2 linked regions of the Macaca mulatta genome follow. The protein of the gene in region 1 interacts with the protein of each later gene in a pairwise test. Links are inferred from orthologs where the notes say so. Each region holds a gene or a part of one and is shown on either strand. Other genes may lie near its edges.

Region 1 (5,130 bases):
AAAAATGATTTTCGTATATTGCACTCCTGTCCAGTGTCTTTGCTAAATGCACCTATTAAAGCTAATAGCTTATCTGTAAATTATTCTTAATTTTCTGTTGCATTCCATCAATAATTTATTTCCAGTTATAACATCTTTTATTTCTTTGCTATTACACTAGCTAGGACTTGCAATAATAAATACAGATTTTTTTGCCTTTAGATTTATTTCAGAGGGAAAGTTTTAGAAACCTTTTAGATAATTATCTAAATTACAGATGTAACAGATCCATATTCACATTTATTTCTGCTCCTGTCATTTTTACTAATAGATGTTTCCAGCAATATGACTATTTCATGTAAATTTTCAAGTTTAATGTCCTAATTTTGTTCCTGATATTCTCTAATGATTTTTAATGCCTGTTATTAATGTAGTGATAACATATTTGAAATTACTGATGTTGGTTATTACAGCCTTCTTCATTTTTCCTTGATAAGTTTCACCAGAAATTATCTGGCTTCAATAAGCTGTTTAAAGGATTTTACTTAATTTATTTCCCTTATTTAATATTTGTTTTTCTTCATTGCTTTTCTTGGCCTTATTATTTGCTTCATTCTGCTTTCTTTGCTTTTACCTACCTAATTATAATTTAATTTGTTGACTTGGGTGATTATAAATATTCAGATATGTTTCCACTTTACAGATTTAGGCAACAAAATTTCCTCAAAGAAACTTACAGAAAAAAAAAAAATCCAATAATATATAAAACGATATATCATGACACAGAAGGGCTTCTTATTAGAAACAAATTGGTCAGTTAAATATTTGAAACTCATAGCTGCAAATAATCACATTAAGAGAATAAAGGGAAAAACAAGATTATCTCAAAAAATATATAAAACTACATGACAGAATTCAGTATGCAGTCATGATACGTACTCTCAGCAAAGTAGGAATACAAAAAAATGATTAATCCACTACACGTATCTGCAAAAATGACAAAACGCTTATATATGGAAATTAAAGACCATTCCTTTGTGGATAGTATGCCACAACACAGCACAGATGGGGTTGAAAGAAAGCAAGAGAAACAAAGGGCTGCCATGAATTAAACCAGTAGAGAAAATAAAAGCCTGGGTCATGCAGGGGACAGTGCCTTATTCAGCCAGCATCAGGAATGATTGAAGTCTGGGGCTTCTACACAGTGGGAAAACGAGCATAGTAATCACAATAAAGAAAGACATCTGAAAGGTGCTAACTTAGCCTCGGATCAGAAGCGCTGTCTGCTAATGCCTTGCTGGTGAAAAGCGTATCCTGCGTAAGCCCTCAGAAATCCCAGAAAACAAAGACCAAAAGAAACGACGCTTTGTCAACAGAGCAAATCGAAAAAATCTTCCAGCAGTGACAGGGCATTAAAAAAAAAAAAACGCAGACATAAGATGGAGTGAATCAAAAAAGGATTTATCTAATTCATGTATGAAATGTTTCAGAATCTATTGGATTCTAATTTTTTTAAAGCAGACAGATACGAAAATACAACGAAGACGTGCATGACTGAAACCAAAAGAGATTAAAGTAAAACCTCATTCTCCTGAGGAAACGGTGTGAGGAGGGAATTAGGGGCTGCCGGAACACAGCGAAGCAGAGGCAGAAGGCAGACAAAAGGGGCTGGGTTGGTCCCTGCCTGTGTGAACAAAAAATATGTCAGATTGGAAAATTGCGGTAAAATCCAAGCGCGGCGCGTACGTTGCCCCCACAGGAAGTGTCCGCCGCGCTGCCTGTGCCCGGAAGTAGGTAGGAACACACAGTCACAGGCAGCCAAGAACCGGGGGGGAAGAAAAAGAGATGCACACTTCCCCTAGAGAAGCCTCCGAGCGCGGCCGCGACTCCGGGCCTCAAGCCCATAAAGAAAAAATACCGGAGACGTTCTGGCACCATTTCGGGGTAAAGAAGCTGCCATGGAAGAGCCTGCAGCTCCCTCAGAAGCCCAGGAGGCAGCCGGGGCCCAGGCAGGTGCTGAGGCAGCAGGGGAGGGTGTGTCCGGGCCGGACCTTCCCGTCTGTGAGCCCTCCAGGGAATCTGCTGCTCCAGATTCGGCCCTGCCACATGCGCCTGTGGGCTGGGCCCCCTTCCCTGTAGCTCCAGTCCCTGCCCACCTCCGCACAGGAGGCCTGAGGCCTGCACCAGCCTCAGGAGGAGGAGCATGGCGCAATCCGTTTCCAAGCCGAAGCAGCGGCATTTGGACAAAGCAGATCATCTGCAGGTATTATATACATGGGCAGTGCAAGGAGGGGGAGAACTGTCGCTATTCCCACGACCTTTCTGGTCGGAAGATGGCCACTGAGGGCAGCGTTTCGCCGCCTGGGGCCTCTGCAGGTGGAGGCCCTAGCACGGCTGCGCACATCGAGCCCCCGACTCAGGAAGTGGCGGAAGCCCCCCCGGCTGCATCCTCCCTTTCCTTGCCTGTGATTGGCTCGGCTGCTGAAAGGGGTTTCTTTGAAGCCGAGAGAGACAATGCAGACCGTGGAGCTGCTGGAGGAGCAGGTGTAGAAAGCTGGGCGGATGCCATTGAGTTTGTTCCAGGGCAGCCCTACCGGGGCCGCTGGGTTGCATCTGCCCCCGAGGCTCCTCCACAGAGCTCAGAGACTGAGAGGAAGCAGATGGCTGTGGGCAGGGGGTTGCGGTTTTGCTATTATGCTTCCAGGGGAGTTTGCTTTCGTGGGGAGAGCTGTATGTTCCTCCATGGAGACATATGCGACATGTGTGGGCTGCAGGCCTTGCACCCCATGGATGCTGCCCAGAGGGAAGACCATATAAGGGCCTGCATTGAAGCACACGAGAAAGATATGGAACTCTCGTTTGCTGTGCAGCGTGGTATGGACAAGGTGTGTGGCATCTGCATGGAGGTTGTCTATGAGAAAGCCAACCCCAATGACCGCCGCTTTGGCATTCTTTCCAATTGCAACCATACCTTCTGTATTAGGTGTATCCGCAGGTGGAGAAGTGCCAGACAGTTTGATAACAGGATCATCAAGTCTTGCCCGCAGTGCAGGGTCACCTCCGACTTGGTCGTTCCCAGTGAGTTCTGGGTGGAGGAGGAGGAAGAGAAGCAGAAACTTATTCAGCAATACAAGGAGGCAATGAGCAACAAGGCCTGCAGGTATTTTGCGGAAGGCAGGGGTAACTGCCCATTTGGAGACACATGCTTTTACAAGCATGAATACCCTGAGGGCTGGGGAGATGAGCCTCCTGGGCCAGGTGGTGGGTCATTCGGCGCATACTGGCATCAACTTGTGGAGCCTGTGCGAATGGGAGAGGGCGACATGCTCTATAAAAGCCGTAAGAAGGAGCTTGTCGTGCTTCGACTGGCCAGTCTGTTGTTTAAGCGGTTTCTTTTACTGAGAGATGAGTTACCCTTCTCTGAGGACCAGTGGGACTTGCTTCATTATGAGCTGGAAGAATATTTCAATTTGAATCTGTAGCATTGTGCTGTGGCATGTGGTCTAGTCTGCTGAGGTTCTGTCGTCTGCTATTGCCTGTTTTCCCTGTGTTGACACTCTTATTGCTTTCAGGGGCTGTTGAGGCAGTGCTTCTGTTTTCTTGTCTATTCTGCATATCTTTCCTCCTAGGATTATGGTGATTATCTGTGTTTAAAAAAATAAGTCCTTAAAGTTACTGTTTTGGTGAAATTAATATTAATGTCAGCTTATGGCTTTTTTTGTCATCTCTGTTTTCAACAGGATTAACTCAGTTCTAGTGTAGTGTTTACTGAATTTCCACACTTATTTTGAAGACCCTCAAGAGTAAATGTGGCAGAGTGAAAGGAGAAGTTTTAATTGAACTAGTAGCTTTGTGCTATAATAGCCTTAACAAATGGACCCTCGCAGGGTCTTGCAGCTGCTCATCTGTTTACAGTTTGTTCTTTCCCTCCTTCCCCTTCAAGTGCACTTGTTAAACTGTGATGAACTTGTGATTTTGTGTTTTACTTGACCAAAACCAAGTGTATATGTTTACATGTTTTTATCCTGTTTAGCTTGACATGAAATAATTTATATTTGGAAATATATATTTAAGAATGATATATATATAATATATATGTATAAGAGCTATGTATTTGAAAATATATATAAAAGAATATACATCACAATATTTATGTTTATGTAATAAAGTAAATACAGAGCCGAAAGCTGAAGGTCAAAGCCTAACAGGATTGGCTGTTGTGTGGATGTGAGTTGTGTGAATAATCATTCTGTCCCTTGCACAGAAGCCAGTAATTAGCATCTAATGAAAAGGACTGTTCAAGTGGGTCTGGCCAAATGTAACAGATGCAGATCTTAAGAGGACTTACAAAGCACTATATTGGTAATTCTTACAATGGCATTAATAGCTCACTCTATAAAAACAGAAATTGTGTTCCTACGCAGTTTTGCCACCTTCTCAATAATTCTTTGTAACAGCAAATCCTAGGCTCAGAGGCACAGTGCTTTGTATTTGATATACAAAGTCTCTAGACTTTCCCAACAAGGGGCTTTAGACAAAAGATTTCAACATAAAAGTAACAAGATTATAAAAGGGAAAATAGAACAAAAATACTAAAACCAGTGAGAATAAAATAATGGAAAGATAATAAAATATAGAAAGCACTAAAAACTAAGTGTAAGAGTAATATAGAAAATTTACATACAACTTAGATTAAATGAAAGCAGTTTAAAGACTGAAAGTCAAAGGCTATAAGACTTCATTACAATCAAAATGAAACATCCTATTTAAAATACACACAACATAAAAATACAGAAGCATTCAAAGTAGTAAGATGGGAAAAAAAACCAAACAGGTGCTGTGACTGTCTTGATTGTAGACAATGTTTATGGTAAGGATAAACACTTTGCTGGAGATAAAAAGGAATGATACATAAACATTAAATTGTAATTCACAGGAATATATAACTGTTCAAATTTTGTATACATTTAATAATGTTGTATCAGATACACAACTGATAAAAATAGAAAATCCTAACTCCAGACTCTTAGTGGACAATTTTAATACACCTTTTTAGTAACCAAACAAGCAAAGAAAAAATGAATGTGAAAGATAATTATGCCATTTTAATGACTTACCTGCATAACTTATGATCTGCATCAACTGCAAATG
Region 2 (3,599 bases), on another chromosome or scaffold:
GAGTTCCATTATGCCTCTTTGCAATCAGAAAAACCCCAACTTTCAAGCCAGGCAAAAACTGATTTGATTCAACTTATATCAGTACAGATTAGTTTTGCCTGTTTTAGAACTTATATAAATGCAATCATGCAGAAAACAATTGTGGCTGGTGTCTTTATAGATACAATTTTTTTTTCATTTTTTTAAGATTCATCTATGTTACTGTTTGTATCAGTAGCTTGTCACTTTTTTATTGCTTAGCAGCTTTAAAATGTATGAATACATCACAATTTGTTTATCAGTTCACTTGTTGGACATTTAGATTTTTATCAACTTTGGGGCTATCATAAAGGAAATTTCTATGAACTTTCCTATGCCAATATTTTTGAGAAAATATGTTTTAAAATCTGTTGGGAAAATTCCAAAAAGTGGAATTTCTAGGACATATGGTAAGCCTAAGTTTAACTTTTTAAGAAACTGCCACCAAGTCTTGGAGTGGTTGAACCCCTCACCAACAATCAATGAGAGTTTCTATTGTTACTATTTTCAAAAGTGCTTGGGACTGTCAGACATTTTAAGTTCAGCAATTATAATGGGTGTGCAGTGGTTTTTCATTCTGGCTTTATTTTACATTTCCCTGATAGTTAATGAGGTTGAGCATCTTTTCATGAGCTCGTTGGTAATTTGTGTATGTAGTTTTGTGAAATGTTTATTCAAATCTATTATTTGCCTTCTTGAGTTTTCGAAGTTCTTTATATATGCTCTGAATTCAAACCCACTGTCAGATACACATATTGTGAATATTTACTCCCAGCTTCTCACTTCATTTTCTTAACCATGTGGTTTAAATGGTAGTTTTTAATTTTGATAAATCCAATTTCTCATTTTTTTTTTTGTGATCTGTTCTTTTTCTGTCCTAAGGGATTGTTTTCTCAAAGATTATAAAGTTTTTCTCTATGTTTTATTCTAGAAGTTTTCTAATTTGAGTTTTTACATTTAGGTTTATGACCATTTTGAATTAATTTGTGTATAGTATAGATAAAAGGCAAGGCTCCTGTTTTTCCTTTAAGAATTCTGTTATTTCAGCACCATTTGTTTAAAAGACTATACTTTCCATATCGAATTACTTTGACATCTTTGTCAAAAATTAATTAACAGGCAGAAGGAGGTGAATCCTGGCAGCCAAGGGCAGAGAGAGGCAAGTCCCCAGAGAAGTGGGAATGGCCAACAGCTCCCTGAGAAGATGCCTTCCGTCCTTCCTGGGCAGGCAAGGGAAGTCTCAAGAATACACAAGAGAAGGGAGAGTGGCAGAGCCCAGGCTGGGGATGTTAAAAGGGACTCACGGTGAGGATGGGGGCGGGCCCGAAAGTCCCACCTGACTCCAGGCTGCAGGAGGGAGCGTGGGACGGGGGCGGAGCCGCTGGCGATGACAACAGCCCCACGTGATCGGCCAACACTGAGTCTTGCCTCTCTCTGGCGTCGGAGCCGCCGTCGCTCGCTCCTTTCTCGGCTGTGGTACCTGTTCCCGGTGGCCCTGAGGACGTGCGGGCCAGGTGCGGCCCCGAAAGCAGGAAGCGGAGGGGGAGCAGGTAAGGGAAACGGAGGGGGTCCCTGGGGTTGGTGTGGGGGAGCGGCCCCGGCCTGCGGATGCCCCACCCCCGAGGAGCCGCGCTGAGACGCAGCCGGTGCACGATGCAGCCCCGGGGCCCCGCCGCGGGACCGCGAGCCTTTAGTGAGCGGAGGAGTGCCTGGCCCCGCGGGAGCCGGCGGTCCTGAGGCTGCGGTCCTGAGGCTACGGCCCTTCTGAAGCACCTGCCTCCGCCACCAGCGCAATCTTTTCTGAGATCCCTGCTCCGCCCTTCTTGATGCAGAAAATGGTGGTCAGCTTGGGGGGCGGGGCGGCTGAGGCGCGGGGAGAGGGCGGCGAGGAGGGCCCGGGCCCGGCGCGGGGAAGGGGCCGGGTGGCGGCGGGTCCTCGCTAGTGTTCCGCTGCAGCAGCCTCCACTCTTCCCACCCCGGCCGTCTGCAGGTCTGCGAGGCTAAGTGTCGAGGCGACGCACCTCACGTCGAGAATCGGGAGGAGGAGGAGACTGCAAGGATAGGCCCAGGTCGGTGCGAGGGACGGTGGCGGGGCGGGGGTCAGAACATGACGAAAGCCCAGTCTGGGACCCCAGTCGGTGCCTTCACTGCTACGCTTCGCAATCCCCCACCCCCACCCCTTCTTCGTCCTCCATTTTGGCGCCTGCAGAGGCCTGGAGATGGATCTGCAGAGAAGATGGTGGGCTTTGCGGGAGAGAGGGGCGCGGACTGCCCCCCCCCAACCCCGAGGGTACACGGGGCCTCTCTGGTGGGAAAAAAAAAATGAAATTTAAAAAAGGCCTTTGAAATCCAGGGCTCTGAATTTTGAAAGGTGGGTAGTCGGGCCTCTGTCCTCGGTGCTGATCAGTTCACCAAGAATTGAGTCCGTTTTCTCTCTGTCTCATAGGAGTAATGGAGTCCAAAGAGGAACGAGCGTTAAACAATCTCAACGTGGAAAATGTCAACCAGGAAAATGATGAAAAAGATGAAAAGGAGCAAGTTGCTAATAAAGGGGAGCCCTTGGCCCTCCCTTTGAATGTTGATGAATACTGTGTGCCTAGAGGAAATCGTAGGCGGTTCCGTGTTAGGCAGCCCACCCTGCAGTATAGATGGGACATAATGCATAGGCTTGGAGAGCCACAGGCAAGGATGAGAGAGGAGAATATGGAAAGGATTGGGGAGGAGGTGAGACAGCTGATGGAAAAGCTGAGGGAAAAACAGTTGAGTCATAGTCTGCGGGCAGTCAGCACTGACCCCCCTCACCATGACCATCACGATGAGTTTTGCCTTATGCCCTGAATCCTGATGGTTTCCCTGAAGTTAATAGGGAGACCCCAGCTTCCTAAACTTACACATTTGTGGTGTACCTTTGTCGTAAACCTTTTGATGTTACCTATTTCTTGTGGGTCTCCTATTACCAGCTTCAAACTGAATGTTGTTTTGACCCAGTTTGTAAGTTTCTGTCAGCAGGGGAGTTTTACCTACTGCATGGAAAGATGCTCATTATATATTGTGAAGTTAATAAAATAGTTTAAAAAACCATTCTCTGCATTCTTTTTTACTTTAAATCTTAAATATGAACATAAACAGTCATATATGTACACATATATACACATATATAGAAAATCGTGTTTATCTTTGTGGTAGAATTAAGAGGGAGTTTATTCTTGCTTATCCATAATTTCTTATTTTTTAAAATGGAACACGTATTACTTATAAAAAGCAATGTGACCACCTTATAAAAGCAATGTGAGCACTTAATAAACACTTGTGACAGAATCTCAATTTTAACTTGCTTCTGGGATCTCTTTTTAGAAATGTTTGAGAGACACATCTCTTTGAAGATCATAATATTTATCAGTAAGATGAAGACAATCACCTCCCAGGCTTATTGTATGGACCAGAAAAGGTAATGAGGTTGTAAGCTTTCTCCCAAGTTCTTGTTCTTACTGACATGCATGACCCAACCCTTTAGATATTCCCTTCTGTTATTAGAGGAAATCTCCAAGGTGAGGTCTTCCCTATATTCACAAGTCCAGTGG

Evidence for each region. The genes of interacting proteins can lie anywhere in the genome.
Region 2: the proteins of MKRN3 (region 1) and protein BEX2 interact in binary tests that used the Homo sapiens proteins (3 or more experiments, as listed by UniProt). The two-hybrid records come from large-scale screens. The link is inferred for Macaca mulatta from reciprocal best matches to the Homo sapiens genes MKRN3 and BEX2.

What each region holds. Positions count from the first base shown.
Region 1 is NC_133412.1:6,385,437-6,390,566, reverse strand, and holds the start of MKRN3 (E3 ubiquitin-protein ligase makorin-3), read left to right. Parts: upstream 1-1,828; 5' UTR 1,829-1,937; coding exon 1,938-3,461; 3' UTR 3,462-5,130. UniProt on the Homo sapiens protein: E3 ubiquitin ligase catalyzing the covalent attachment of ubiquitin moieties onto substrate proteins.
Region 2 is NC_133426.1:109,951,033-109,954,631, reverse strand, and holds protein BEX2, read left to right. Parts: upstream 1-1,437; 5' UTR 1,438-1,844; coding exon 1,845-1,859; intron 1,860-2,008; coding exon 2,009-2,087; intron 2,088-2,464; coding exon 2,465-2,856; 3' UTR 2,857-3,099; downstream 3,100-3,599. UniProt on the Homo sapiens protein: Regulator of mitochondrial apoptosis and G1 cell cycle in breast cancer.